Notamacropus eugenii: one gene and its partners. The protein of the gene in region 3 purifies or fractionates together with the protein of the main gene of each other region. This does not show direct contact. Links are inferred from orthologs where the notes say so. Each region holds a gene or a part of one and is shown on either strand. Other genes may lie near its edges. The genes, in order: BET1, PTTG1IP, STX7 and VAMP3.

Region 1 (7,449 bases), on a different chromosome or scaffold from region 3:
ACAGGGTGAAGTGCCCAGAGTCACACAACTAGTCACTGTCTGAGGTCAGATTTGAACTCACAAAGATGAATCTTCCTGATTCCAGGCTTGGAGCTCTGGGCACTAAGGCATCTCCTAGTGGTCCCAAGCTGGGCATACAGTAGAGCTCAACGAATCCTTGGCAAATGTTGGAGTGGGACCATCTCCAGTCGTTCTGATGAATATCTGACCACTGCACCCAGATGGCTCTGGAGCAGAAAGTGAGGCTGGGGACTTTGTACAGCCCTATGCACTCCAATCAAAGTGAGCTGCAAGTCATATCATCATCTCCCTGGAGACAAACACAAGGTAAATACTGGGTGAGTGAGACATGCAGAGGAGGGTGGGAGGCAGGGCCCTGGGGGACGGAGTTGGGAGGAGGCAGCAGGAGACAACTGAGCTTGGATGCCAATAAATCATCTAACCAGGCACTTTCTGCTCATTGATAACAGTGTGGATGATGACTGGCCCAAATGGAGGCTGCCCCAGAAAACCCTTGCCCTCCCCTAGGCAAGGTTGGGCTGCATGCAGGGACATCTTGATCAGGGCTGAGCCCCAGGCTGGCTCTGGGGCTGCATGAGTCAGCATCCCAAAGGGCACCCTCCCCTGGGGACACGCAAGTCACCGCCTGGGACACCATCAGCACTGCTCCTGCCCCACAGCCCCAGGGACACTGCCCCCTCCTAGTCGTCCACTTGTCCACATCCACACTGGGGGCATCTGTCTCCACCCTCTTCACATGAGCGCTTTTTTCTTTTTTTTACTGTATTTTTAATTTACGAAAAAAACCAAACATTATGAAATAAAATAAACATAATATAGTAGAGCAATAAAGATGCCTTCCCTCTGCCTTGAGATCCCCGCTAGCTCCTTCCCTTACAGAGCATTGCTTCCACTCCCCCACCCTCATCAGTTCTACTCAGTCCTGTCTCTCCAGACTCCCACCCTTAATTGTGTAGCTGCCAAGCCCCAGGGGCAGACTGCTCCTCCCCTCCCTCTGCTTTTGCCCCAAATGAGCTGCTAAAGGAAGCCAAGGTCACAGAACCGTTTGGGATGGATCCCAAACCTCACCTCATAGTCCCCTTTCATGTCTCTTCTCCTCCCCTTCTCCGGTCTCCCCAGAGGGAGCAGTCCTTTGCCCTCTCTCCCTCTCCCTCTACACCTTTATGTATCATCCCCAGGGCCTGTTCTGTCCTCTGCCATGGTTGCCCTGGAGTTGACCCTCATCACTTGGCACACTGGATCGGCCTTCCTTAAACATGGCACCCCCTTCTTCATTCAAACCCACGGGCTCCCTGCTGTCACTAGGACCAGACATGAATTCCCGGTCACATCCTGGCCCGACGTTACTTTCCAGTGGGCATCCTTGCTGTTCCTGTCTCCGGACTCTACGGGTTGTGGCTGCTCCGACATCAGCATCAGCGCTCTCTCTTCATTTCTGCCTCCTGGCTCAGCTGGAGTCCCTCAGCCTCCTCAGACCTCCTGCCTTCCCTCTGGGAGTCATCTCCAGCTTACCCCATGTGTTGCCCTCCTCCCCACTGGGCCAGAAGATTTCCTGTGAGAGCAGGACCTAACCTCAGCCCTTCCCCCAGGAAGGCATAAGTCTGGCAGAGTAGAGGATTTCTCCTAAATGCCTGACTTGCCTAGACCTCTCTGGCCTCCACTCTCAGAGGCATTATCCACTCCCATGAATTCAATGGCCATCTCTCTGTTGTGATTCTCAGTTCTACTTTGCTATGCTGACCTCCAGCCTCACATCTCTCCCTGCCCAGTGGATATCTCAGACTGTGTTGGGGGTGTAAGCTCAGTTCCATGTGGACAGTCTCAGGCAGGTAAAGGTGAGGACTTCTAAATCTTAGCGTTCTCATGAGGCCCCCCAGGGAACAGCAGGGAATTGAGGTGTGAGACCGAGCTATCTCGTGCATTTCCGCCTCTTCCCGTGCGAAAAGTGCTGGGAGAGAGCATCCCCGCCCTCGAGATTGGCCCAGATCTGAGCACACCTATTGTTATCTAACAGGCACGGTATTCAGGTGCAAACTATGCGGCCGGAGAGCTTAAGTAGGGTCAGGAAAGCCTGAAGGCACTGTTAGCGCTGAAGGGCCCTTACAGGACAGAAGGCCCCTCTTCCTTCTCTCCTCTCTTCGCTCCTCCCTCTCCCCTCTCTCCCCACTTCCACTTCCACTTCCATTCTCTTACTGTAAGATCTTTGCCTCCTTGGGAGATTTCTCTCTCTCCTAAGGAAGAGTTCCCCCTGCACATGTAACCAAGACCCTGAATAAAGCCTAACCCTTGTTCGACTCCAGAAGGTCTCTTCTCTCATACGTTTATCCGGTTTGGCCAGCCGAAGACCTGCGATAGATAAGGTAAGACTCGGGTAGCCCTCAGGCCTCTAAGCCTGGCAAGACTGGATGCCCTAGAGGCATCTCAAAGTCAGCATCCCCAAAGCACAACTCACTCTATTGCCTCCAAGCCCCCGTCACTGCAGGGGGCACCCCATTCCCCAGGCTCCCAACCTAGGAATCATCCAGTGGTCCCCACATCCAAGATGGTGACAAGGCCTGTCAGCTGCCCCTCCTCACATCTCTCCCATTGGTTTTCTTTTGGGCTGTTAGAACAGCCTGATATTGGATCTTCTGGTTCTACTCTCTTCTCCAATACATCTTCCATAGGGGCAGCCAGGTCATGCAGTGGATAGAGTGCTGGGCCTGGAGTCAGGAAGACTCATTCATCTTCCTGAGTTCAAATCTGGGTTCAGACATTTAATATTTGTGTTACCCTGGATACATTATCTAAAACTCTTTGCCTCAGTTTCCTCTTCTGTAAAATGAGCTGGAGAAGGAAATGGCAAATCCCTCCAGTATCTTTGCCAAGAAAACCTCAAAAGGAATCACAGAGTCAGACAGGACTAATAACACACGTTTTCTATATGGACTCCAAAACAACCTTCCTAAGGTACATGTCAGACCACACGATGCCTTTCTCACTACAAACTCCTTAGCCTGGCATTTAAGGACCTGCATAATCTTTCTCCTAGTACTCCAGTCTTATTTCACATTCCTCCCCTGCAGACACACACCTCAAATTCAATGCATCAATCAACAGGCATTTATCAAGACCCTAAACATCCAAAAACAAAAGTAAAAATGCCTTTACCCAGCAGCAGGAGACAGTAGGCACACCCAGAAATATATGGTGGGGCTAGGAGCATCTGTGTGGGTGTGGGATGGGGACCAGGAGCACCTGGGGGGAGGTGGGATGGGGACCAGGAGCACCTGGGGGGAGGTGGGATGGGGCCATGGGCACCTTGGGGGAGGGGGCCCAAGAGTACATCTCCTTCTCTCCCCCAGCCTCTAAAAACTGTGGCCCTTCTCCTTGCCAAGGCCTGTCATGTGTCAGGGAACGTGATTGCATCTCACTTCTCCAGCAGATGATCGTACCCTCAGTTCTTTCTCTCCCCTCCCTAACCTCTTCAGGTCTTCCAGGTCCTTCCCTACTGCCCATCTCTATCTCTCTTTTCTCTTTCTCTTTCTGACTCCTCCGAACCCTCCCCGTCTCTGGTTCTCTCTCCTAGACACCGTATTTTGACACTTTAGTGAACCTAGTTCACTTTAAAACTAGGTCTTTCTCTCCTCTGGGATGATCTCTCACACATTCCTGAAGTTAACAGTGTTCCTAAAGACAAGGTAACCCCCCTTTTAAGAAACAGGGAAAGGAGTTGAAGGAAATACAAAGTAACTACCTCGGGTCTGTAACTGATCGATGGGACAACATGCGGGACCAGATGTGCAGGCTGGGTGCTGAGGACGAGGGGTGAAGACCAGAGGAGGGAGCTGTCCCTCCAGCTGGGAGGGTGGGTGCTGGGGGTTGTTTCAAATTCTTCGTAGTTCATTTATTTGTCCATACTTTATTAAGATCCCACAGGGTGACAGACGGGCAATAGTGCTGAAGGTCCAAGGAAAGGCAGGAGCAGAGTCCCTGCCCCCAAAAGGCTTCCATTCTAACGGGGGGAGTGGGGGAAGGGGGGGAAACAACACACCGAACTTTACCCAAGGGGCATACACACGCGGCGAGGGAGGCGGGAGGAAAGGGAACGTGACCCCCGCCACCATTGGAGAGGGTTGGGGGTCTCAGGTTGGGTCAAGTCAACCACAGCCCCCCCGCCCGCCCCCAACCTCCCTTTCCTCAAAAGGACCTGAATGCTCCCCGCGGCGGCAGGGGTGGCCATGGTGCTGGCCTGGGCGACCCGCCGTGGGAGCTCCCCAACCAGGTCCCCGGCTCAGAGTGCCACACCCGCCCGTCTCCCACCCTCGGAGGAGGGATCCAAGGACCCCACGTCCTTTCCTGGACTACGCTTCCCACAAGTGCCCACAGCACTTTCCGGGACTACATTTCCCAGAAGGCCCCGCGGAGCCCCGCCTGCGGGGTTGTGATTCCCGGCCGCGCTGTCCGTGACGTCATCACCCCGCGCAGACCTCGGCGCTGACGTGGCGGGAGAAAGACCGGGGTTTGGGGGTCACGATGCGGCGCGCGGGCCTCGGTGAGTGGGACGGGAGACGGGTAAACTGAGGTAGACGAGGGGAAGGAATTCGGAGGGCTTCTGCGATAGTTAGGGAAATCGAGGTTGGGGGCGGGATTCTTGACAGTAGGGGAAACCGAGGCAGGGGGCGCGGCCGTATGGGCGCTTTCCGGGGCTGGAGAGCGAGGTCCAGGCCTGAGGGGGCCCAGCGGTCTTGGAGGGGGGCGCCCCTAGGCTTTCTGCCGCCTGTGCAGACTGTGAGCCCCGTGGCCTTTACCCTGGGCAGGTCACGCCCCCCCAGCTGCCTCAGTTTCTCCCACTGTACAGGGTCCTTCCAAACCTCCTCCTCCCCTGCCGCCTCCTGGTGCCGCCTGGCATCGGGGTCAGTGCCTGCCTGTCAAAACCCCGGCGCCGGACTTTGACCTCTGACGGGGTGGGGGGAGCAGCCTAGCCCCTCCCCCCAAGCTCCGTCCAGGTTCCGCCACACAGAAGGCGCCGTGGGTCCACGTCACTCTGGGGATCCTTGGGGCTGATCTTTGGGAAGGGGGGCAGGGGAATCAGCCCATTTCTTAGATGAGCGAGGCTCTGGGGAGAGAAGGCAGCACACATCCAAGCATTTATTGAGCGCCTACTGCATGCCAGGCACCACCCCAGTTCTAGGGATGCAAAGAAAGACAGAAGTTAACTCCAGCTTGGGTGGCGGAGGGGGCAGAGCAGGCTTTCTGGAGTAGGTGAAGATTCTGGGGGCGGCAGGGCCCCCCCCCAAGATGGAACCCCTGGAGAAGGACCCCCAGGTAGATGGATCTAACTCCCCTCCCCGTGCTGTGCCAGGTGAAGGTGGGGCACCCCCCGGGCACCACAGCTATGCCAACAGCGGCTACAGTTCCTTGGAGGAGGAGAACGCCCGGCTGACTGAGAGCCTGCGCACCAAGGTGACCGCCATCAAGTCGGTGAGTGGGAGCCCAGAGCTGGGGCACAAAGCAGGCATCCTGGGCTCCAGCACATCCAGGCCTGAGCCTCGGAGCCCCTGAGCCTGGGGAGGGCTGTGCAAGCCCCTCTTCCCCTAGGCTTTCTGAGGCCTGTGGGGGGTTGAGGAGGAGCTGCAGGGGAAATCTGCCCCCCCATAGTGTTTGCCAGCCTTCCTCTCTTTGAGCCACTGAGTAACAAACCTGGCTTCGTGACCCTCCCTGTTTTTGCCCCAGCCCATGATTCACTTGTTCAGCAAAGTCCCAGGGCAGATGGAGAAGTAAAGCAGACAGAAATGTAGGAGGCAGCACGGGCTTTGGTGGGACCATTAGGAGGGAGGAGGAGGAAGGTCCCTGGCATTCCCCCCCTCCGGCCTCCAGGCCTCGTGCCTCCTCACATTCAGCCTCCTGTCTCCCCTCACAGCTTTCCATCGAAATCGGACACGAAGTGAAGCATCAGAACAAAATGCTGGCAGAGATGGTGAGTGATGGGCAGGGGCGGTCTGGAAATTTAATCCACTGGAGCAGAGCAGACATGTTTTTATATGTGTTTTAGTTTTCCAATGATCAGGTTGGTGTTTTTGCTTCCTCTCTTTCCTTCTGGAAAGAAGAAAAAGAAAAACAAGCCCGTCCCCATTGGCCCTGCACGAGGCGGGGGCCACCATCCCTTACCTCTCACGCCCGGGTGATCACTGCACTGCCCTTGGCTTGGACCTCTCAGAGCGCTTTCTGTTTACAGTGAGAAGCTATGGCCCAGGCTTTCCTGGTTCTACTTCCTCCAGGCTTTGGAAAAAAGTCCTCTTTCCTTTGAGTTCTTTCTCCCTTTCCCTCATTCTGTATTTCTCATTCTTTCACTTTTTCTCACCCTTCCTCCCTCCCTCTTTCTTTCCCTACTTGCCTTTCCTTCTGTTGTCCATTCTCTCCTCTTCCTCCTTCCTCCCTCCTTCCCCCTTCATTCCATCCTTCATTCCCTTCTCCCACATCCCTTCCTTCCTTCCTATGCATGTGCCCTAATTTATTCATCCATCTCTTAGGAGATGGCTTTAGGATGTAGGCCTGCTGATGTCATTGGGTCAAAGAGTTCACACAGTTTAGTCCCTTTTGGGGGCCTAGTTCCACATTGCTTTCCAGAATGTCAGGGTCAGACCACAACTCCACCAGCAATGCATAAGCATGCCTGTTTCTCCAGCCTTGGTCATTTTCCTTTTTTGTCATCTTTGCTATTCTGATGGGGTTGGGGTGGTAGTTCCGAGTTGCTTTAATTAATTTTCCTCTTAATTATTACTGATTTGCAGGATTTGTTCATAAGGGTGTTGATAGCCTGGATTTCTTCTGTCTCTGTCCTGACCATTTGTCAGTTGGGGAATAGGGAATTTAGATGAACTGACTGACCTGTAGAGTGATTCTGCCTTCCAGCACTTCTCTTCTTAGACCAGGGGGGCCCCAAAGGAAGATCCCTCCCCATCAGGGCTTAGGGAGAGGCGGAGATCGATGTGGAGGAGGGCAGGATCTGACCTCTGCCCCCACTTCCTGCTGAACCTTCCAGTGGGATGAACAGGCTGGTCTCCCAGAGAAGGGCTCCTGACTTGGAGGTCCAAAAGTGGAAGGGACAGGAGATGTCTGGGCTGAGCACCAGGATACAGGACTTGCTAGGAATGGGCCTCCTTCCTCTCCTTCCAGGGGTGGAGGGAGAAACAGCCTCTTTCATGGGGGGGCCTGATCTTGTCCCTCACCGAGACTCCCCCTACTCAGGTTTCCACCTTTCTCACTGGCTATTCTCCTGGCAGAGAGAGGCGACCAGCCTAGGTGATCTGTGGGCCTGAGTGGGGCTCTGCAGCCCCCTGGGAAAGCACAGCATGACCACACAGGGGCCAGTTCTTCTCCCTTCTCTCCAGTGTCTCATGACACTCTTAGGGGAAAGGGACCCTATCAGCTCTTGGCCTTGGCCTC
Region 2 (7,259 bases), about 150 Mb from region 3:
TCTGTGCCCAGGAGAGGGGCAGCATACTCCAGCAGGTGCTAAGGAGAGCCAGTCCAGGCAGAACCGATATGCCCTGGATGTTGGCAAGGCAGAACTTTGGGCAGGGCATTTTAGCGGTGGCACAGGAGATGGGGCATGAGCCAGCAAAGCACCGGAGTGTATAGAGGCATCTGTCACCTGTCACCAAAGGGAGAGGAGTGAGCTGGGGCTGGGGACAGAGTAGTCGTCAGGACCAGATGCTGCAGAGTGACCAGGGAGACCAGAACCAAGCATTGAGCTGGTGAGATACTTGGTACCCTGTGAGAGTTTCAGCCTAATTCCAGGGTCAGAAGCCAGAGCGTAGGAAGGGAATGGAAAGTGAGTGGATAGAAGCCAAAGCTGACCACCAGTATTTGGCTATAGAGGAAGGAGAGGTCAAGGAGTGTAGGGCAGCACATGAAGAGACCTGGGCATGTTTGTAAGCAGGAGAGCCGTTGCTGTTGAATAAGAAGAGACTGCTCCCAAGAGGTGTTGAGTTGGGGGGGTGGTGTGTGGAGACATGGACAGGGGAAACCTCTGGGGATGAGAGCAGCTGGCACTCAGGGACAGGAGAAGAGGGTCCACCTTTGGTGCCAAACCCAGAAGAGAAGGAAAAAACCAGTCCAACAAAACTAGCCAACACATGGGGAAAAATTTGACATCATATACCCATGGTCTCCTTTCCTCTGGCTGGAAGGTGGGGAGAGAACAGTCTTCTCCAGCCTCCATGCCCAGCCCTAAACGTTTGTTCATTTTCTATACTGTTTGCCTTCCCAGGATAATCCCCTTTTCAAGAGTGCAACAACAACTGTTATGAATCCCAAGTTTGCCGAGAACTAGGTGGCCCCTGTTCCTGCTGAAAAGCTGCCAACAGCCCCCTCCACTCACCTTCTAACAACCATATCTGCCAAGGAGAGTCATCACTGGCCCTGCAGTGGACCCTGGGCTTTGGGCTTGGACCCTAGAAGGCACCTCTCCTAGCAGCCACCAAGGCCACGTCAGCTACACCTCTGTTGTTCAGACCCTCATAATATTCTGACCAGTGTGGGGACCTGCCCACTGTCTCCTGCAGATCCTACACTCACCAGGATTTTTTCCTGCCTTCCCTGAGAACTTGAGCACTGGGCTGGACAAGTCTGAAGGTGGACAAAATCACACTGAGTGTCCTGTTTGGTCAGGCCCCCCTGCCCAGGATTCCTAAATGCCGGCCTTGCCAACCAGATGAATGTTCTCTTTCCATATGTCTCTGGTTCAGCCCACATCTGATGGATATTTACTTTCTTTCTCCTACCAGCACTTAGAGTCTCTCTGTCTACCCTGGGATCTTCCATCTACCTCTTCCACTTGGCACCTACTCCTGACATTAAAGGGGATTTAAGCTGGTGTGGGGTTTGGAAATACGTGATAGAATGATGTAGAAGGTTAGGTTGTTGGTACTGAAAAATGGATAGATGTGTGGAAGGATGGATGGATGATGAATGGATGAGTGGGTAGATGGATGGACACATGGGCCTGAACCCAGAAGCCTGTAGGAACTGAAAAGGGTTGGTATGTGGGGGTGGGATGGGGGGGTACACACTCATCTACGGTCTCATTTTTGCATTGCCAGACTCCGTGATGTTCCTCTATTAGACATCTGTCATACTTCAGTAGGTTTCATAGGCAAGATTTGGCTAGCAATGATCCATGTCCTCTGGAGCTCCAAGTCTGGAATATGGCCCAGTGGTTTGGTAGCACATGCCAGCTGACAGGGTCCTCCCTTCTCCCCACAAAGCAGATCACCAAGCAAATACAAGGATACCCCAACAGTTCATTGTGGTTCTGTTTTTTAAAACCTTTATTAAAATGTCAACAGATTGATTAGTCTCTAATTTCTTCTTTCAAACAAAATCATATACCTTTGGGAGCAAAGTTTAAAGAAATGCCAAGTCCATGCCACTAAACACCACTGTTAAAGCCTGCCTAATCTGACCTCAGATGGACCCTTTTCCTGGAGAAGAGACTTTTCTCTTTCTCTTCCTTGCACAAATCCCAGGTCTTGTCCCACCCACAGGTTCCTGATCCCATCAGCCTGTGCTGAGGAGAGGGTCCCTGGCTGCCTGTCCCCTCCCCTTTTGTACCAGGGGAATGGGGGCCTTCCTCTGGCTGAGATGTTCAGCCAGCTGAAGAACTGACAAAGTTATGTGATCCGTTAGTAAATCAAGGGCCTCCTCAGTCCACCGAAGGGGCCACATCCATTGTCAGGGTTAGGACAGACTGAAACCAAGGGAGGTCCCTTTGGTTCCCTCGTGGGTCCGAACTGGAATGAAGCAGCACATGATTGCCAGCACTTGCTGTCAGCTGCTTCACCCAAACTCTCACCTTCTGTAGCATGAACAGACCGACTGACCTTGTGTTCTGGGCTGTCTGCATTCAGGGCACACACCTCAGGTACCTTTCATGGCCTAGGGAAACATTGATTATTTTGCTTTTCATTTACCACTTGGTTTATTCCATATCTGCCAGGGGGCTCAGTGGTGGGGCAAGGGCTGCACCCAAGGGCACATACCCCGGGGTAGGGGGCACACTCATGACTCCTCCAGGCTCTGGGGCTGGCAGAGAGGGGGGATGGGGAAGAGGTAGGGATGCTGATCCTCAGGGTCAGCTCTGGAGGTACCCCCAACCCACCCTTTCCGATTCTGTTCAGAATGGACCTGAGGCTCAGGAAAGAACCTGGAACTGGCCACACCATGAGCTGGGCTGACCAAGTCAGTCTTAAGCCTAAATTTTAAAGTGGGCACCAGAAAAGGCTATTCTGTGAACCTGGCATCCCTGCATCCCCCTTCACCCACAGGAAGAAGAGGTGTGGAACAGGCTCTGGAGCTCGTTGTGTCTCCCCCCCCCCCCCCCCTTTGGATTTAACTGAAGAAGGTTGGGGTGGCTTTAGAGGCCATGCTCACTCCTCCCTTAAGACCCTTTCCTCGAGATCAATGAATGCAACTCCCTTCTCTTCTCTGTTCTGTTCCTATTTCTTGCCCAGTCAGCAGGTCCGGGTGATATCCCCCTCCCCAGCAGCCTGAGCAGATCCCATTTTAGGTCAAGCCACATTGAGCCTGCTTTGTCTGGGTCAGGGTGGATCTACTGAGGCTGCTGGGGAGGGAGGCATCCCATCTAATAGGATATGACAACGTGCCTTGGAGCCAGGTGACCTGGGAAGGTGATAGGGGCGTAATTGGGGGATCCATGAGGGACAGCACTGTGGTGGTAGGGGGTGCTCTAGACCTCCAATTCCCCAACTCTAAAAGGAGGGCATCAGGTGAGCTGACTTCTGTCCCAAAGGTCAGAGTCAATGGTGTCCTCACCTAGAGAGACACTTTCTGAGGCTACCTCCAGGGCACTCTGGGCTGGGAGGAAGTGCCCCCCACAAGCTCCAGGGCTCTGCCTGGAGGCAGGAGCAGGCAGAGAGGGCTAGGCCAGCAAAGGTAAGGCCAAGAGCCCTTGCTCACTCACCTGGACCAACCCCCTCCTCATTCAGGGACAAGGCACTTGGGTGCCCTTCCCAGATGGCACCAGTGACTGCACTCCCGGGGCCCAGACCAGCCACTGCCTTCCCTGGGGGGGAGGCGAAGGCCTGTTCTAAATTGGAAACTGCTGGATTTGCTCCTGGAACTCCTCGGGGACCTTTCATTCCAGAGCCTACATCTTATCTCTTTCAAGTTTACGTCTACCCTTCCTGTTCCAAATGCTTATGGTAGACAATACTTCAGAAGATGGTTCTGTAAGCAGGAGGGGAACACATGGTGTTCTATCTCCAGTGCCCTGTTGTCTCGGCTCAGAGGATCAGGATAGGGGGAACCTCACTAATGCGGAATCCAGATAACTGAACTCTGGGAGACTGAGGTTTGCAGAGAAAATGATCCCGAATGGGAGGACAGGAGCCCTGCGGCTGAGCTCGGTGACACCCCCAGGGCCTAGGGCTTCCCCTGGGGATGGGGGGCCAAGCTCCAGGTGAGGCAGGATCCAGCCCCGCCCCGCCCAGCCCCGGGGGCCTCTGGGCCGAGCCTCCCCATTTCACAAACAAGGAAACCGAGGTTGGGAGAGGCCTCGTGCTCCCGAGGGTGCCGGCTAGCTCTGGGCCCATGAACAGGCCGCAGGGGGCGGCAGAGAATGAGCCCCGCCCTCCCCGCCCCGCCCCTCCGCTCCCCTCCCCCCTCACCCCCCAGGCACCGGCTCGCTCTCAAAGGAGGGTTTGGCGCCTGCGCGGTGACGCTCGAGCAGGCCCCGCCCACGGCCCCGCCCCGCGCTTGCTCAGTCCGGAGCTGGGATCGCGGCTCACCGAGAGGGGAGAAGATTCTGCGTCCGTCTGTGGCCGCGTCTCCGTCCGAGTACTTGAGCGGCAGAGGCCGCCGAGCGCTTGCTCATGGAGCCCCGGGGCCCGACACGGGCCGTGATGCTCGGGCCGCTGCTGCTGCTGCTGCCGCTGCTCCTGCCTCAGTCCGGGCCGGCCGTGTCGGCCCAGAGCGCGGCCGCTGGTAAGGGGGCGCTGGGCGAGGGAGGGGACGGGGCGGGGGGGGCGTCGAGCCCACTGCGCCTGTGCGAGGCTGGGGAACCGCAACTCTTCCGGGGCACACTGCGCCTGCGCGAGGTGGAGCGGCGCGGGCCCGGCCCCCGGCGCTTTCTCCGTACCCCGCCCGGTCCTGCCCTTTGGCTCCCCTGGTGTTGGCGTCACCTCCGCTACCCCCATTGTTCCTCCGTGAGTGGGGGGAGGGAACACTAGGATTCGGCGTCCCCGCGCCGCGGCCTGGGCCTTCGGGAGTCGGGGGAGATCTGGGCCCGATCTCTGCCCCCGGCTCGTTTGGGGGAGATGGGGGGGACTGGAGGCTCACAAGGGAGCGGGCTCCCCGGAGTTTTGTTTTCCTTTTCTTTCCCCTTGGTGGGGGAGGCGGGGAAATAGATTTTGTTCATTGAGAAAAATAAAGCCCCGACATGCAGGGGCCAGGTTGGGAGGCAGCCCTGTGTGGGCCTCAGTTTCCTCATCTGTAAAACGAAGGGCCCTGAATCTTAGGGCTCCGTCGGGCTCCTCCCCTGGTTCCTTCAGGCTGAAGGGTGATCGTGGTTGTTTCCCCCCAGCTTGCTCGGAGAGTACCAACAGATCCTGCGCCGACTGCCTGAAGAACGTCTCGGTGAGTCCCTTGGCCTGCCTGAGGGAGGGGGCCTCAGCGCTCGCTTCCCGCCGTGTGCTGGGCCAGACGTCACCCTGCCTCCTCCACTTGTGGTCTTCTGTCCGGCCCACTCCCTGGCTCAGTTGCTGGGGCCTTGCCCCCTAAACCTCCCTGTGTCCACATGCGTGCCCCACAGATGCTCATATTCTCTCCTCTCACACATACACACGTACACTCTGACACTCACGCTCTGACTCCTGGGCTAGACTGTGAGCTCCTCGAATGTGGCTTCTCCAGGACCTAGTGCCCAGCAAGCCTTTGAGAAGTGCTTGTTGGTTGGTGGATGGACAGATGGTCAGTCACTGCTGGGTTTTTTTTCTTAGGAAGGGTTTGTTTTGTCTCGGTTTAGGCTCTCCTAGGGAGCAGTCCCAAGGAACCCCCTGCTTTTACAACTCTGGGTCTGGCAGGGACCTTCCCCAGACTCCCCCAGCCAGGCAGAATCAAAGGCAGGTCCCCTGGCCTCAAGGCAAGTTCTGTCCCCAGCACAGACTGGCTTCCTCTTTGAAGAGATTTCAGTCAAGGTGATGGGACCAAACGTAGACATCAGAGGATCCCGATGGCCCATCTGACTCTGGGGGGGTTAGAGAAGGAGAGCTCAATCTGATCATTCTGGGATGAGTGGGGCGGTCACAAGCCCCCAGAGTCAGGCCTTCCAAGCCAGTTTTGCCAGGCCCAGGCCACATGTCTGTACCCATCCTGGCACATCCCAAAGGTACCAAAATGCTATAGGCCTCTCCCCAGCATCAGCCCAGAATCTCTGTGAGATTTGGGGAGGGACAATGAGGAAATTATTTTAAAGTAAGCCCATGGGAGACATCTTTCTGTGTACCCCAAACAGATGTCCTCAGGTCCCTCAATCCAACTTGGCCCTGGGGCCTCTGTTGTTACACTGGTGGTTCAGGTTTCCCACTAATGAATTGGTCTGTTTTGAAAAGAGACTTCTGCCCCAATTTCCTGCTTCCTTCCCTCCTCTGGATAAGTGGGCACTTGCTCTGCTACCCCCTCCCTGGGCTTAGGAGCAGAGGCTGCCAGCCCATGTTAAGCCTCCACTCTGAGATGGCACTGACCATCCCATCTGGTCTTATCCCAAGTCCTGTGTCCTCCCACTTGACCAGAAGGAGCCTTAGAGTTCTGTCCAAGCCCTGGATCTCTGATCCCTAATATCATGCTTTGCTTCTGATGATTCTCTCTCCCACTCACAACAGTGGCTGAGGAAACCTGGGGCACCTTTGTCCTTCTTGTCCTCTCTTTATCCATTTTCTCCCCACCCAGTGAGAGAGGGGCTAGGGAGTGATTGGTGAAGGGCAATAGGTGCAGATGAGGAGCAGGGCTGCCTACCTGCCCCAGTGGCTGAGTCCTTGCAATTGGTCCTCCCTGCCTCTGTTTTTCTCTTCTCCATCTCTTTTACCTGTGCACTCACTCCCCAGTAGAACTGATTGACCTTTATTAAGGATTGAGGGCCCACAAGACAAGATCCAGATGGGCCCTGTTCCCCTGGGACATGGCGGGGGGAGGGGGGGGGGGTGTTCCATTGTAGACCTGGGCTGCCCAGTCTCTGAGGGGGATGCCTAAGTAGTGAGGAACAGGGGAGCCTTCATGGGGGCTAAGACATGGAGACAAGGCAAGGTGGGGACAGGACTGATTGGGGCCAGGAACAGAGGGATGATGCTCTGTCTGTCGGTTCCAGTGCTTTTGGTGCTACACTAATAATGCCTGCCTGGACTATCCCGTCAGGAAGATCCTGCCGCCCAGCTCACTGTGTCCTCTGAGCTCTGCGCGCTGGGGTGTGTGCTGGGGTAAGTTCTCCCTTTGCTTGGCACATCTGCCCTTGGCTATGCATCCGCAAGCTTGAGAGGAGAAGCAGCTTCCCCTGGGTCATAGGGGATCTTCTGACTCCCAAGTGCAGCTAGCACTAAGTCCCTTCATGGAGCACTAGGAAGTGTGGGAGGACTGGGGCCAGGACTTTACATAGAAGAATGCTCTTCACTTTGGGGTGCCTAAGGTCAGTCAGTAAATATTAAGCACCTACTCATGCCAGGC
Region 3 (7,599 bases):
TGGTGGAGTTCAGACTAGTTCCTGCCTTATTCTGCCACTTTGGCTCCACTCTCTCCATTTTTACATTTGTGCAAATCTCTTTAATATCTGACTTAGTAGAAAACTAATGGATTTTCATATCCTCTTCTGCATTAAGTCTATTGTTAGATGCTATTTTGGTTGAAGTGTTTGAAGAGAATTCAGCCTCACACAGATACGTTTGGAAAAGAGAGAAACATTGCATACAACTGGAAGTTAAGATATACAGGCAATGGAGTATAGAAATCTATTTTGCCCTACAGGAAAATAGAGGGGAAAGGGAATGGAAGAAGGGTGGGTAAAAGAAGAGAGGACAGACTGGAAGAAGGGGTGGATGGGGTGCATACTGTCCTAGGTAGGGGGTAGGGAGAGTTGGTGTGAAAATTTTGAATTCAAATTCTTGTGGAAGTGAATGTTGAGAATTGAAAAATAAATAAATTATATATTAAAAAAAAGAAAAGATTGAAGCATTTCATAATTGTGAATATCTTCTTTGATGCTATATCAAAACTTGACCAGTTACTGTTACAAATGTAGTGGTAATTGACAAAGGTATGAATCCAAAACATTATCAATAAAGTTTTTATACTGCTATATTAAAAGTCATTGTTCCATATTGTGCTTTGAATGGATCCTTTACTCATTCATGGTTTTATAGCATCCTGCTTTGATCATTTGGAAAATATTGGTTCACTAAATTATACATAACTTCCAAATGTTGATGCATTTCATTATACAACATTGTAAAATCATATTTATTTATATCACCCCTAATCTCATCAGAAAAATCTTTAAGTGTTGGAAAACTTTCAAACTCATTTTTGGTAGACACACATTTTCCAAAATTCTATTTTTGTTGACATTTTAAATTTTGTCTTTAGCAACAAATTCTATCAATTGTTTTCCTTGAAGTAAGCAGACCATTGCACTTATTTCTGGAAAAAAAAAAAACTACCATGTATCCAAGTCTGAATAACAATAGTGTGTCTTATTTCATTCAAGTAAAAATGGTGATCTATGAAAAAAAGTGCTTGTTCATCTGGCAACTCACATGATTGCACAAGTAGTCTTCCTGGAGACAACCATCACTCTTCAGCATGCAGCAGAAATGGTTTATATATATACTTCCCATTTTGTCACACAGAATACTAAAAAGACATTACTGAAATGTTGAGATTTAATAAAATTAATATTTTCTATTACTTCATCAAGGACATTCTTAAGTTAAACTTTTTTTTTCATTGCAGGTGAATGGGGATGATGAATACAATGACTACTGGTAAAGTTTAGAGTCCATCCCTTGATTTGTGCTGTGGCACTAGGAGTTTTATCTAGAATTTTGTAACATCAGCACAAAAGTCAACACAGTTGCTCCAGGATAAGCCATGAGATTCAAAAAAGTTATTCAACACTTTGTGTATTTCAGCACCATTTGTGTTTGTTGCCAAGAATTCACATAAAGTTCTTCAGTGATTTGCTGGAATACAAGCAAAACATCAGGTTTAACCATGTTCATACATTTGTCCAAATACAATTCTGTAGATGAGATATCTTCATTATTGCAGCCAAATCTTCATTTCACATATCAGTGGAAAACTGCACTATACAATTGTGAAAGGATAGTGAAAAAAGCAAATAACATCTTAGTATTATTGTGAAAATAACTTTGACCTTGCAAACCACTTGAAAGGGTCTCTCTAGGACCTACAGGAATTCTCAGATCATACTTTGAGAATAGCTGTTCTAAAGGAAACAGATATTTCTAAAACAAATATGTGATAAAGACCACTCACTTCCTTTCTGTTAAGACACAGTCAGTTTCATAGAATTACAGAACTTGAGAGTTGGAAGGCACCTCATTGGCCTTTAAAAGGTGATCATCAAAAAAAATTCCTCTAACTTCTTTATAAGTTACTAGCATATGAGCATGAAACTTCTGAATAGTCTATAAGCCTCTGTGCCTTTTGGTTTCTTATTATTGTACCATATTCTCTATCTAATCTTACCATTCTCCTTATACCCACTTTTGTCTTGAAGTCAGAGATTCATTTCATAGATAGATTCATTATTGACACAAAGTAATCTGTCTCTCTCCCTCTTCCCCACTTCATCTTCATGCATAATACTATATGTATGTATTTGTGTTCATATGTATATTCCCACCTCATCTATTTCATTTTCTACAGTAGGTGTTAGTACAAGTCTTCATGATGGATTTGTTTGTTCTAATTAATTAATTTTGCTTAAGCTCATTATATGTGCTTTAGGGTGAGAGGGTCTAGTACCATACAGAAAATTGTATTTCTTGTTGCTCCCTTTGTTGATCAGTGGTCACAATAAGATGTGAGTCTTACCTTCCAAGGAAAAATTCAATCAAAATATTTTTCTAGCCAGCACAATGAGTCCAAACAATGACCTCACCCCTGTAACCTTTCCAAGTTGACCTTCTCATCCACCATCTACATTTTATTTACTTTGAGCAAAGCATCTATTATCTTTCCATGTCAGACAGCATTTCTCAAACACAACAAAAGTTTGTCTGGTTTTTCTGACTTTACAGTAATTTCACATTAGGATTAGAAAGACTTGCCTTTCTCCAGGCATTTAAAGCCCTTTATACCTTTTTAGTCTTCTGACATTTTACTCTCCTCCATTCATTCTTGCCCCAGTTATACTGGGCTAATATTGTAACAGCAAGGACCCCAGCATACATAGGAAGGCCTGCTATATAGGTTCTTAGATCTGTTTTTCTAAAAGGAAAGTAACTTTTAAAGGGTCAACAACCTACTTTAATCAAAGCATATACATCATTCACTTGGTTTAGGGGGAAAAGTCAGCACCCTGAACTTCAGAGAAAATACAAACAGAGAAATAAAGATCAACAGACAGATCCAACTGTCTGACCATCTATGCATAGTTAGAAGAGAGAGAAGCACCAATATGTGGGTTTTCAAAGCCAGCAGACTCCTTAGTGGCTTACCAGAGTCTTATATGGCACACAAACCTTCCTTCAAAAACTAAGCCCCAAAACAAAACTTCATCTCAGAGTATTTATACACTTTTCAGAGCTAGAGGGCAGGACCCTCTGAACCAGTGTCTCAGTAGAAATTAACAAAAGGTATTGAGGCTTATCAATGGGCAGGTAGTGAAGATCTTTAACTCTTCCCTCCACCTACTATTAACCTTAAATTACCATTACTACTACATACCCTCAAGTAGCATATTCTGTTTTTCATCTCCATACCTTTGCACTGGTTCTCCCCCATGCCTGGAATGCTCTGTCCTCTCACTCCTATCTTCACCTCAAAAATGAATCCCTAAGACTCATTTTAAATTCTGCTTTCTACAGGATGGCTTTGCCTATTACTCCCAAATGATAACACAGAGTACCCTTCCAGATTATATATGCGTAAATATATATTCATGTGTAATATATGGAAATATGATACTATAAATAGACTTATCTGTAAATATATGTGTTTTAATGATGTGGTTTGAGAGGTTCAGGGACCCTTTAAGGACTGAAGTACAGAAGAGGGTTGTCTGAAATTAATTCAGGAACTTGGGTAATCTTTAAATCAAGATTGCAAAAGTTTATTGTAATGCAAATATGACTGACAGAGCTCCTTAAGAAACTTGCAACTTAAACAGGAATGATGCTAAACTTTTATAGGAAATGTAGTAGATTATCTGGCAGATATGCTAATTAGGTGATAACATATAACACACAGGCCTCATTCACTACTGGAAGTCAGGGGAAGGAAGGGGTTTCTCATCTGTGTTTTTTTGGTCCCTCTGCAGCAAGATAGCTTTGAGAGTTGATATCTATAGTTTGACTTCTGGGTTGTATACTATAACTTTGGGAAACAATACATGATGATTCTGCTGGTACAAGAGAGTCTTGTTTTTACAAGAGAAATTCTACAAAGGTCAGATTGTTCTTGGAAGGGAGAAACATAGTTTGTCTTACTGGGGCCCGCTGATGAGTTATTGCTAGGCTGGGGTAAAAAATTGTCAGGGATAGTGTTTTGAGGCAAGGGAAAATATGATGTTGGAAGAGGGGTCCACTATCAGCATCAGTAATGTAGGTAAATACACATATCTATCCACATATGTAATCTAGGTGAATATAAGATGTATACAGATAGTCTGTATATACACATATAGAGATCCATACAGTCTATCTGTTTATTTATATATCTTAAATTGACCTAGTTATTTTGTCTACTTATTTACATGTTGTCTTCCCCCTTCCCCGTTATCTTAGACTGAGCTTTTAGAGATCAGGAACTCTTTTTGGGGGGGTCCCCTATTTTGTGTCCCTAGCATTTAGCACAACAAACGCTTCTTGGCTATCTGACCGCCATCACACTCTGGATGTTACTTTTCTTCTGCGCCTTTACATTTTCAAGCCCAAACTGTGACATCTTTGTCTCCATTTTCAGGCCAAAACTGTGACATCTTTGTCTCCGTCAGCACAAAGTCAAAAGCAATAATCGTCTCTCTCTTCCCATTTCTAGGCGGAGAAAACTGGGCAGAAAGGGCGGGCTCTGACTCCACCCTGAGCCCCAGAGCGCGCTTCCTACCTAAGGGTGAGTCGGAATGGAAGTTCCGGACACGTTCATTGCCATAACTGCCAAGGGGTCCGTGGAAAAGGGATTCTTTTGGCAATGAAATGCAATTTAATCATGCCCATGCTTCACACCAACAGGTTGGGATCTTCTGCGTCCGCAGAGGGCGGCGGCGGCTTTCTTCCCGGTAAAGGAGACGGACAGGTAAGCTGGCTCCTGACAGTACACACCTACCGAAGGGCTCAGCTACGTCTGCTCGCCGACTCCCTGCTTCGCGCAGAAAAAAGGGCGGGGCGGGCAGGAAAGGGTGCGTGTCACTCAGCCCTCGGGGCCAATGAGAGAGCTCGGGGCCCGCCCCCTTTCCTGGGCTCTGCGGCCGGGCCAGCGCAGCAGGGAGGCGGCTGCTGCGAACCACCGCCCATCAGCTGAGAAATTCAGCCGGGTGCCTTCCGGGACGCTTAGGGGTGGCCGTCGGTGGAGGAGGAGGAGAAGGTGGAGGTCTCGGTAAGAGGACGTCTGGGGCCCCTGGGCCGTCTGGCGCCCGCGGAGCGGCGCCGCTGCCCTTGCGGCCTGCCCGCCGCCTGCGGGGTCTCCGCAGCCTTCCTCCGGCGGGGTGTAAGGCGCTGTCCGTTGGCCGCCGCCCTGGGTTTTGCCGCAGCTCCTGGACAGGGCGGCCTGTGCCGCGGGAGTCGCAGCCACGGACCGGGCGCTGCTTGTCCCCGCCTCCCTTCCCCCTTGGCGGGGGCCGGGGCGGAGGAGGCCTGAGCAGTTTCTAGCTGCCTCGGGGCTGACGGGCGTTTTTTCCGGACCTGACAGAAGGCCGGGGGGATGGGGGATGGGGGGCTAGTTCCGCATTCCCGCCCAGCCCAGCTGGCCCCGGGACGGCCGACTGGCCTCTCCCTCCCGGGGTGAGCCGGCGCCCGCCCCAGTTGTGTTCCCCGGTCTCTGCCTGTGCTCCTGCGGTCCCTGTCGCCTCTGTATTCCCAAAGCGCTGCCACCTGAACCTGTTGCTGAGAGGGCACTGGAGAGTAAAGCCAGTGCCCATGCGGGCACCAGGGGAATGTGACTTGGTGTAACACTCCTGTCCCTCTGCCTGAGCCCTCCCAAGGCTTCTCTTTCTTTGCTCATCCGGGCATGAGCACCATGCACAAAGACCACTGCACACGTGAAGTCAGGAGATAGGGAAACAGCTCGTGGTGTTCCGTCCCCTGATTAAAAGTTCTGCTGGGAAACATTGCCACAAACCCTGGCGGAGCTAGCTGACGAGAAATTCATAATTGTGCCCCTGAGGGATGGAGTTGACCTCTTCCTCTTTTCAACTTGTGTTTAATAAACAAGTCTCCAAGTATCATTCAGGAACTGAAAAAAATAGACTACTGTACTGAAATAAATGAACCATAATTTGTATTGTCAGGAAGTCACACGTTCGGTTAAGTTCTTTTGTTGACTTTGGTTAAAATTTTTAATTTTCAGTTACTTTTTTAAAAAGTTGATTATTATGAGTTTTTGAAACAAAGCAGAGTCCATGTTCTTCCTAGTCACTTTTTTTCTTACATTTCCCGTAAATAAAAAAATGCATTGCCTGGGTTACATCACATTTTTTTTAACCTTTCAAGTTATTTTAAATTGAGTAGTTATCTTAAATGTATTGAGGTTGACGTTGTTTGCACTGCCTCCAATATATTCCAGCTATGCTTGTTCAGAACAACTTCCTGCCTATGTGTGGACTCAAGCAAATCATTTTTTTTCCAGTTTTGTGAAATACTTCTCAGCTTGGTAAAGTCCTGATAGCTTAGCAGGCAGCCCTTCTGGACTAGCCTGTGCCACACCTGTGCAAAGATTGATAATGGTTCTGACTTAAGTCTTGTGATATGGAATGAGCAGCAGTAGCAGGTTGCTTCAAACTTGTGACTGCAGGATTATGTTCTGGATTCTTAGTTTCCACATCAGTTAATAAGAGACCATATTAACTCACTAACACTCTGTCCCATCTTTGTTTTTTTCTCCCCTCTGGTCACTTTACTTTACTCCTCATGACACAAATCCTCTAAATTCTAGTCACTAGTTTTCTCTAAGTTCCAAATATTTGGTGCACACAAGTAATACAGGTGTGAATAAAGTAAGAATGAACTTAAATATGGAATTCTAATTGATCCCAAATTTGGGTGCTTGTTGTGGTGAAAGTTGTGGTGAACATGAAAAATCTTTATGGTAATGTAAGCTGAGATTGAAGAGATTTTGGATGGGCTAGAAGAGCTCTGAAGTGAAGCAGATGTTTTTAAAAAAAAAAAAAAAGCTCTAGAGAGAGAATCTCCAAATAGTCTATGATACTTTCTATACTGGGGAACAAGTTTGTCGACTACATATTGTTACGGAATAATAACAATAAGGGATAGGTATTGAACCTGCCATTTCATTGACATAGAGAACTCCCACATGTGGAAACTGCTTCTACCAATGCATATTAGCACGTTCCCTGAAATTTGTAGTTTTAGAGAGTTGCCTAGAACGGTGATAGATTAAATGAATCGTTCAGGGTGTGTACATCAGAGGCAAGACTTGAACCCAGGTCTAACTACTACACCAGACCACCACAGTAACAACCATAATAAACACCTTCTAGTGTTCAGGTCCTTCTAGACCAGATGCAATTGATGCTTTTTTTAAAAGGCACTTGAAATTTGATAAGACTTAAGTATTTCTACATTATACTTCATGCTTTCTGTCTGTCTTTATTATCAGTGTTCTGATAATAGCATTCTAAAGCTTTTTCAAATAACAGAAGAAATAAAACATGTTCTAACTATCAGAACCAAATTCATCAAATGAGAGAGTTTGGTCCTTGAAGGCATTCTTAAATTCTGGTTCTTCTGTGTTGTCATTGAGTCGTTTCAGATGTGTCTGACTCTCTATGACCTTATTTTAGGCTTGGCTTGGCAGAGATACTGGAGTGGTTTGCCATTTCCTTCTCCAGCTTATTTTGCAGATGAGGAATTGAGGCAGACAGGGT
Region 4 (7,916 bases), on a different chromosome or scaffold from region 3:
AAATCCATATTTTGGCGATATTTCATCAAAACTGAGCAGTTTCTGTGTATATATAGAAGGTAGAAATGGAAAATGAGAAATACTATTTGAAAGGGATTATATTGATTAATTACTAAATATTTTATTCACAAAGGGTCAATAACATGGCAAGATAAAATTATTATTTGTATAGTTTTGTCTGAATGAGCGAGAAAAGTGTGGATGTATTGTTTGTACATATTGTATATATTAAAACAGAGATATGTGCATGAATTCAAGAAAAAAAAGAAATGAAAAAAAGCAAAGCATTAGTGGCTATGGTCTGTAAAATGAAACAAAAACTTTATTTCACTATAAGAGTACTTTATTTTAAATGTTCTTTAGAAGAACATTTTGCTAAAGCATGACTAAACTGCAAAAAAAAAAAGAGCTACTGTATTTAGACTTAGGAAAAAAAGGCAGAGTAACATTACTAAAAAACAAAAAAAAGGATATGTTTACATTTAATTTTGGCTACCGGGAGTTGATTTAATTTTATTTTAACTTTTTTTGCCAATGGTGCCAAGTAATGTGAATGCTAATATTGCTTAAGAAAATTAAGTTAATTTTGCAAAGCAGATAATCATAAGAAAAACCAGTATATAGCTTAACACCATCCACTCACTCCAATAAAGAACACTTAGAATGAACATAAACTGAAAAAAAAAAAGAAATAGTCTGAAAGTAGAAAAATATGTTTCACATTTTCATATCTCCTGCTGGAAGTCAGAAAATGTAATAAAAATTGCACAAAAAAATTAAAAAAATTAAAATTAAAATGATGCAAACTGGTCTTGTAGGGGTGTCATGGTATATTACTATTTCCACATAATGAGGAGCCAAAGAAATCAGATACTTTAAAAAAAAAAATAGAAACTACTAATGTTAAATTAAGAGAGGGTAAGTTAGTATTTGCTGATACCAGTTTAAAATTTCCAAGCTAAGTCTGAAGATCAGTTGGTGTAAAGTTAATGACAATTAGTTTTGTTCTTACTTGATTTTGGCCATCAACTGTAAGTGAAAATGCAAGGCTTGTTGTGAAGCCTAAAAATATTCACAAATAAGAAGCTTTTAAACTGGTGTCTTTGGAAGGAAGGTATATACAAAAGGATTGGGGTAAAAACTGGGGTCAGTGCTCTTGGTGCCTTTTCTATAATTGTACTTGTTTTTTAATTACTTCCTTTCACTGCCAACCTTGAATTACTGTACAGTATACGTCTTACTGCTCGTGATCAGCTCTGACAACAGTGACAGTCCCACAACGAACAGCCACCTGTACATTTGTAAACTGACCTAACTCAATTTTTTTTTTAAGTGTGTGGCTCATGCTGCAGCTGTTGCAGTCCCAAAACATCTATTATTTTACAAAATTGGGCCTGTAGGAGAACACTGAGTATTATACACTCATAAACACATATACATAATTGCACACACAAATGGGAATGGAATGTGAAGGCCAGATCTTTCGAAATGTCCTGTATTAAAAGTGAATTTAGACATGTTTATTCCATTTGTTATGAAAAGAATGGATCTTTAACAAGAGTAATGACCTCAGTGGATTTGTTTTAACCCTCACATTTCTACAAAAAAAACGTTTCACATACATTTATTAGATGGGCAAGATAGAAGACTCAGTAAGATATAGAAATACTTAATGTTACTCTTCCAACTCAGAGGGTCTTCCTGGAGGGAAGAGAAAGTAGGTTTACTGCCTACTGCATAACCCACCACTGACCACTGAGTTAGCTAAAAATGCACTTCCACTGAAAGAATGCATTTCTGATCGCCCTTTTCTTGGTTGTGGATCATAGTTTTGAGTATAAGATGATAGGTAAGCGCAGCTTTCTTGGATAATCTGAATTCCCAAGTGCCAGGAGTAGGATTTCATTATAAAAATTAATAGCTAATATTATTCTGTCTCCTGAAAATTTAATTGCTATTATTACACATTTGAAATCAGCTGTACTGTGTGAACGAAATAAAGACTATAACATGAACCCCCTCTATGGTTGCACGGTCGCTTATGGCAGTTCCACACAGTAGTTGGCGCCCAACGGGGGGTCCCCAAGACTTGCATGTAAAACTAGTCTAGATGTCTCCTTTTTGTAAGTTTTATTTTTGTAATTGTGCATGTAAAGCATCACTGAATCAATGGATCTGTTGAAGAACTCAGCTGCTGGAACCATGCAAAATGTTTTGAATTGCCCTTAAAATATGGAAAATGTTTTCTGAATGCTTTATATTCTTTCTGCTGTAAATTAAAAATGAAGAAAATTTCCCCATACTAGGTGTTGGTGTGTTTTGTTCTTAATTTAGATTTCTCGGCTATTTAAAACCAGGGCACATTGTGCTTAACTTCATGTTGTTTCAAGCGTATCCATTTCAAAAAACAAAGTTTGGGTCCAGAATCTGTCTTTAATGAACATGATTCACACATGCCCTCCAAAGCACATCTCAGGAAAGTTCTACTCAATTTGCAAATAATAAAGTTACTTAAATGGGTTAAATTACAGAGAAATCATTTAAAATCTTTGTATTTAAAATACCAGACTGAATTAAAAACATGTAACTATGAAGCCTTCTGAGTCACTAGTGACAATCTTGCAAGCTGTTTAAAGTTCTACAGGGCTCCCCTCCATTCCCACTGCCAGCATCCTAGCCTAGGCCCTTTGCACCTTTCCCATTTGGATTATTGCAACAATATCCTAGCTGGTCTCTCCCTCAAGAGACTCTTCCCACTTTAAATCCAGTCTACTCCAACCTGGGATTTCATTAATATCTTACAGGGCCCTTCCACAGATGCAGAGCACAACTCTACCACATCTAAGAGTGGTTATGGACAAAAAAAAAAAACGATCACCCTTCATAGGATCATAGACCTAATGCTGGAAGAAACCTTAGAGGTCATTTAGTCCAGCCCCATCATTTGACCCAGTTCCAGCATGTGCTACTAAATGTTTAACAATCCTTTGTTGTTTTGTTTTTGTTGGGGGCAGGGGTAACGTATTCTTGACATACTTTTAAGTTGAGTCTGAATTACCAACATTTCCTTGATTGCTTTAAGTCCAGGCAATCAGCAGTCAAGTTAAGGTGTAAATGTTCACACTGACATTTTAACAACTGGCTCCCTAGCCAGGCTCCACCACACCACACACATCTTTGGCTTCTTCAAACTTTGCAGGACTGATACCCTGAGAACTGGTACCCAGTATTCAGAGCCTTTCTGTTTTGAGAGGGCCTCCCCAAACCTAAGCTTTGCTTACATAGCTTCAGGAACCTACAACCAAGACACAAGGCCTTAGTGGAAGAATTTCCTTAAAAATTCCCATTTATCAAGTCACTCCCCTGTTCACAAACCTATGTTGGTTCCCTATTGCCAACTCCAATCCCAATTCTTCTGCTCCAAAATGTGTCCCTATCCAGTCTTATTAACTACTTCATCTATACGCACCCTTTCTTCCTGTCAAATGTCCTCATTATTCTTTGGCCACTGTTCTTGCCCTGTACCTTTGCTCACAAGGTTCGAAATACTTTTACTCCCCTCTACTTAACCAAATTCTACCCATCCTTCAAATTCCACCACAGATCTCATCTTGCCAACATAGCTTTCTTTGACTACTCTTGGAATCCCTTTTCTTCCTATTGCTTTTAAGGTTACTACTTTAACTGTTAAAAGAAGGTAAACCGAGGCACAAATTTCTAAGCATGACCAATTTATTAGTAAAGTGTGAATTTACCAATAAATACAATCACAGTTTCCTCAGCGAAGCTAAGACATCCCTCCAAATGTGGGAGATAGTTCTCTTTTATAGCTTTTTTGGGGAGTATAGAGCAAAGAACATAACTTCCTAGGCGGGAAACAAGAGCTCAGCATCATGAATGGTGAAATCAAAATGAATGATTACAGAGCTGAGGCATGGGGCGACAACACGATTGGTTGGAAACTGGGAACCAGGGCCTAGCAACAAACACCCCTTTCCTCTCCTGTAGTTAAGGAATGTTCCTTGAGTCTACCCGCAAGATTAGATAAAGTGGACCAGACTTCTTTGCAGAGTAAACCAGACACCCTTGAAGGGCAGTTTGGTGGTGTAAAAATACCAGACCAGACTCCCTGATGTCCACCTGCATCCCCCAAGGAAAGCAGAATCCCTTGAGGCAAGAATGGACTTTTAACCTTAATTCACTGCATACTAAGTTCAGAGACAAGAACCACGATTTGGGCCATAACTGGACAAAATCAAGTCACCATAAAATAGGATCAGTTAAAAGACAGAATCAATCTGATTATCCCAGCACTCAGCCTCACACCTGCTGTCTTACTAAAGGTGCACAGCTGTCAGTCAGGTCTCCAATGACTCTGTGCTCCCTGAGGGCATCCCTTGTATCCTTTCCCTAGTCTGGACTCGTTTTGATGAGAAAATTCAGATTCAGATTCGTATGGGGCACGCTGCTTTCTCAGTCACCGAAGGGGTAACTAAGAGAGCCAGGGTCCCTCCCAATCTTTTGGCGGAAAACACACTTATCGCAGCTCGGACCTGTGCATTTATTTAGGAATGACTGGGGAAAAGCACGAATTAAGCGGTCTGCTAACATGGGAGGCAATGCCAAGCTCGTTGTATCCGTCTGGCTTTCATAAATACCTCCCAGTTCTAATGCAGGTCTGCCCGGACCCCTCCTGTACGGTTATATATGGGGCACAGCGGGCACTGCTTACCTCACCTGGGAAGAGGGACCATCCTCCCGGCAGCCTCAGAGGGAGTACAGCGCGCATGCGCGCACTCGCGGTCCCGCCTTCTCCAATCCCACCCCCGCCCCACCCCCACCTGGGAGGGGTCAGCGCAGAGGCCAGGGTGAGGCCGACTAGGGCACCGCCCCCACCCTCACTTACCCGGGCCACTTCCTTCCCCCCGCTGGGGCCGCCTATTCCTGCGGCTTCCTACAAGGGTCCAAAGAAACTCAACCAGGGGAGGGGAAAAAAGAAAGCCCGGAGAGAGAGTTGGACGGGGGGGCAGACTGAGGGAAGCGGGAGGGAGGGAGGGCATGGGCACGGACGGCGGCCGCCACCCCTCCCCCTCTGCTCTGTCAGTCACAGCGCCGCGAGCGGCAGCAGCGCCCGTTGAATCCGTTCCGTCCGTTGGTCGGCGCGCACGCGCACGCCCCTGCCTCCGCCCTTTCTGACTTCCTCAGGGAGAGGTGTGCCCGCGCGCCTGCGCGCGTGCGTCTAAGCCCTCTTCCTCTCCCGTGCAGACGGACGTGCGTGCGTGCGTGCGTACGCCTCGCTTCCAAGCTCCGCCTCTTCCCTCCGGTGCGTCACCAGCCGCGCCCCGCCCACCAGTCTGGCAGGCGAGCAGGCAGACGGAGTCTGGGCGTCCGTGAGCCGCTCCACCCTCCGCGTTCCGAGGCCCCGCAGAGCCCGCCAGAGCGATTCCTCTCCCGACGAAGGGGCCAGCCGCCGAGATGTGAGTGACGCGCCTCCGGGGCCCGAGCGGGCGGGGGTCTGGCTCCGCGGCTGCTGCCGGGGCGTGCCCCCTCCGTGCGGCCCGGGCTGCGGGGGACGCCCTGACGCGGGCCGCAGCCTGTACGCTTGTATTCTCGTACGCGCCCTACGAATAGAGCCGGCCCTGCCCTCGCGGAGCTTCCAGTCTGAGGAGGGAAGCCCCGGGGTCCGGAGCGGCCGAGGGGAGGCGGCGGCGGGGTTCCGATCGCGCCTCGGCGGGGGGGACGGAGCCTGGACGTGGAAGGGAGGGGGAGGGGGCGGGAGACCCTGCCCCGGGCCCTGGCCCCTCCTGGGCCCCCTCCGCCCCCTCCGCCCTTTCCGTTCTGGAAGGGTCTCCGTGGTGGGCACGGCAGCAGTAACGATGATGACGGCGGTGATGACGTTTATGTAGCGCCTTCGGAGCGCTTTCTAGGCGGGGTCCCCTTGGAGCCCGAGAACGACCCTGTGTGGGGCGGGGATATGTGTGCCCATTTTACAGAGGGGGAAACTGAGGCTCAGGGAGGCGCTTTGGCAGCGCTGGAACGGTTCCCTACATAAGCGAGTAAAGAAGCATGAACTGGGGGGGGGGTCCCTGCCCCCAGGGGGTCGCTGTGGCTGCCCCCAGGGGGTCGCTGTGGATCTTTAGGGAGAAGTCAGATCATGAACATTATTGTCTAGGAACCAGGCTTCCTAGGAATTTTGAGTTACTTTCTTGTGGAGTGCTTGTGGAACATTTCTCCCTGCAGTCAGACATTTGTCACCGGTGCACAACTTTGGGAGTGTTCACTTTTTCCTCTTGAAGGAATGTGGCTTAGGATTTTAAGGTCCCTTTGGTGACTGTGCTTTACAGTGTGACCTTTTAAATGCATTTTTCCTGAGCTTACCCAAGATTTTACCAAGAATCCTATCTGGCACCCCAGGGGGCTCAAGTTTGGAGAATGAAAGGAGGCTAGGAAACTAGAATCAGAATAGTCTCGTTGGCTTCTCAGGAAAGAAAATGCATTCCACCAAAATAGAGTATTAATGGCAGCTAGCATTTATATAATACCTACTACGTCGTTACAAATATTATCTCATTTCATTCTCCTAACAACCCTCGGAAGTAAATGCTATTGTTAGCCCCATTTTACAGTTGAGAAAATTGAGGCAAGCAGAGGTGAAGTAACTTAACCAAGGTCCATCAACTGGTGAGTGTCTGAGGCTGGATCTGAACTCAGGCCCAGCACTCTATCCACTTCTCCACCTTAGGTGCCCCATACTAAGTACTACTATGTGGTTGTTCAGTTGTTTTCAGTCATGTCTGACTTTTCATGATCCCACTTGGGATCCTCTTGGCAAAGATACTGCAGTAGTTTGCTGTTTCCTTCTCTATCTCATTTTACAAATGAGGAAACTGAGGCAAATGGTGAAATGACTTGCCCAGGGTGACACAACTAGTGAGTATCTAGGCCATATTTGAACTCAGGTTTTCCTGAGTCCAGGCATGGCTCTCTATCTATTGCATCACATAGCTGCTCATCAATATGTTCAAGATAATGTTGAACATTATGGGTGATTCATAGAATTACATGGCAGTCTCTGCTTTCAAAGAATTTAAGTTCCAGTTGGGAAAAAATTGCAAAAATAACCTTACATGTCATCGTCTGACTAAATATCAACTAATAAAAGTATCTACTCTGGGTTGGAGTGGTCAAGGAATGCCATTTCCTTCAAAGCAGCATTCTGGTGTCTCCTTTTAGTAGAAAACTTTCCTGATTCTGTCCCTCCCCATTGTTGGCAGTCTCTTCCTTTCACAGTTACTTTATATCGCCTTTCATATACTTTGTGTTTATTTGTGTGTGTGATGGCTCTCTATCTCCAATAGAACATAAGTTTCTTGAGGGTAGGTACTATTAAATTTTTCTTGGCTTTGCAGCCCTAGGAAGAGCCTTGACTCAAGTGCTTTACATGCACAAAAGGCTTAATAAACATTTATTGAATTGAATTCATGAGAAAAATAAAATTTGATCTTGGCCTTGAAGGATAGATAAATTCAAAGCTATGAGCATTATCCCAGTTATTTCTTCATTTACCTACTATTTAGTGGTAGTGTGAATTTAATAATGCTCATTCCTGAAAATTACATTCAGAAGTAGCAAGAAACAATAATTATAGCAAATGAACTTAACTATGTCCTTAATGGGGGTGAGGCAAAGGTGTGGTCCACAATTCTTAGGCTTAACTATGAAAATACCCTGAACTGATAAGGATTAATTTCCTTGTTCAGAACTAAAAACTCATTATCTTTCCTTATGCCGTGTTCTGGTGATTCTATCTTTACAACATCTCTTAGACCATGCCCCCTTCTCTCCTAAGACACTGCTACTGCTGTGATCCAGGCCCTCATTACCTCACGCCTACATGATTGTAATAGCCTTCTGGT

The links.
Region 1: the proteins of STX7 (region 3) and BET1 purify together in Homo sapiens (affinity purification with mass spectrometry; 3 studies listed by BioGRID and IntAct, with this or other methods). This does not show direct contact. The link is inferred for Notamacropus eugenii from reciprocal best matches to the Homo sapiens genes STX7 and BET1.
Region 2: the proteins of STX7 (region 3) and PTTG1IP purify together in Homo sapiens (affinity purification with mass spectrometry; 3 studies listed by BioGRID and IntAct, counting the BioPlex papers as one, with this or other methods). This does not show direct contact. The link is inferred for Notamacropus eugenii from reciprocal best matches to the Homo sapiens genes STX7 and PTTG1IP.
Region 4: the proteins of STX7 (region 3) and VAMP3 purify together in Homo sapiens (affinity purification with mass spectrometry; 3 studies listed by BioGRID and IntAct, counting the BioPlex papers as one, with this or other methods). This does not show direct contact. The link is inferred for Notamacropus eugenii from reciprocal best matches to the Homo sapiens genes STX7 and VAMP3.

Annotation. Positions count from the first base shown.
Region 1 is NC_092874.1:489,427,645-489,435,093, reverse strand, and holds the start of BET1 (BET1 homolog), read left to right. Parts: upstream 1-4,432; 5' UTR 4,433-4,536; coding exon 4,537-4,555; intron 4,556-5,365; coding exon 5,366-5,484; intron 5,485-5,923; coding exon 5,924-5,980; intron 5,981-7,449. UniProt on the Homo sapiens protein: Required for vesicular transport from the ER to the Golgi complex. Functions as a SNARE involved in the docking process of ER-derived vesicles with the cis-Golgi membrane.
Region 2 is NC_092873.1:70,182,938-70,190,196, forward strand, and holds the start of PTTG1IP (pituitary tumor-transforming gene 1 protein-interacting protein), read left to right. Parts: upstream 1-4,242; 5' UTR 4,243-4,417; coding exon 4,418-4,529; intron 4,530-5,127; coding exon 5,128-5,180; intron 5,181-6,906; coding exon 6,907-7,015; intron 7,016-7,259. Other genes in the region: ITGB2 (integrin beta-2), read left to right, coding at 796-858. UniProt on the Homo sapiens protein: May facilitate PTTG1 nuclear translocation.
Region 3 is NC_092873.1:217,747,411-217,755,009, reverse strand, and holds the start of STX7 (syntaxin-7), read left to right. Parts: upstream 1-4,588; 5' UTR 4,589-4,610; exon of another isoform or gene 4,611-4,729; 5' UTR 4,730-4,793; intron 4,794-4,974; exon of another isoform or gene 4,975-5,093; intron 5,094-7,599. UniProt on the Homo sapiens protein: May be involved in protein trafficking from the plasma membrane to the early endosome (EE) as well as in homotypic fusion of endocytic organelles. Mediates the endocytic trafficking from early endosomes to late endosomes and lysosomes.
Region 4 is NC_092876.1:46,453,180-46,461,095, forward strand, and holds the start of VAMP3 (vesicle-associated membrane protein 3), read left to right. Parts: upstream 1-4,904; 5' UTR 4,905-5,475; coding exon 5,476-5,477; intron 5,478-7,916. UniProt on the Homo sapiens protein: SNARE involved in vesicular transport from the late endosomes to the trans-Golgi network.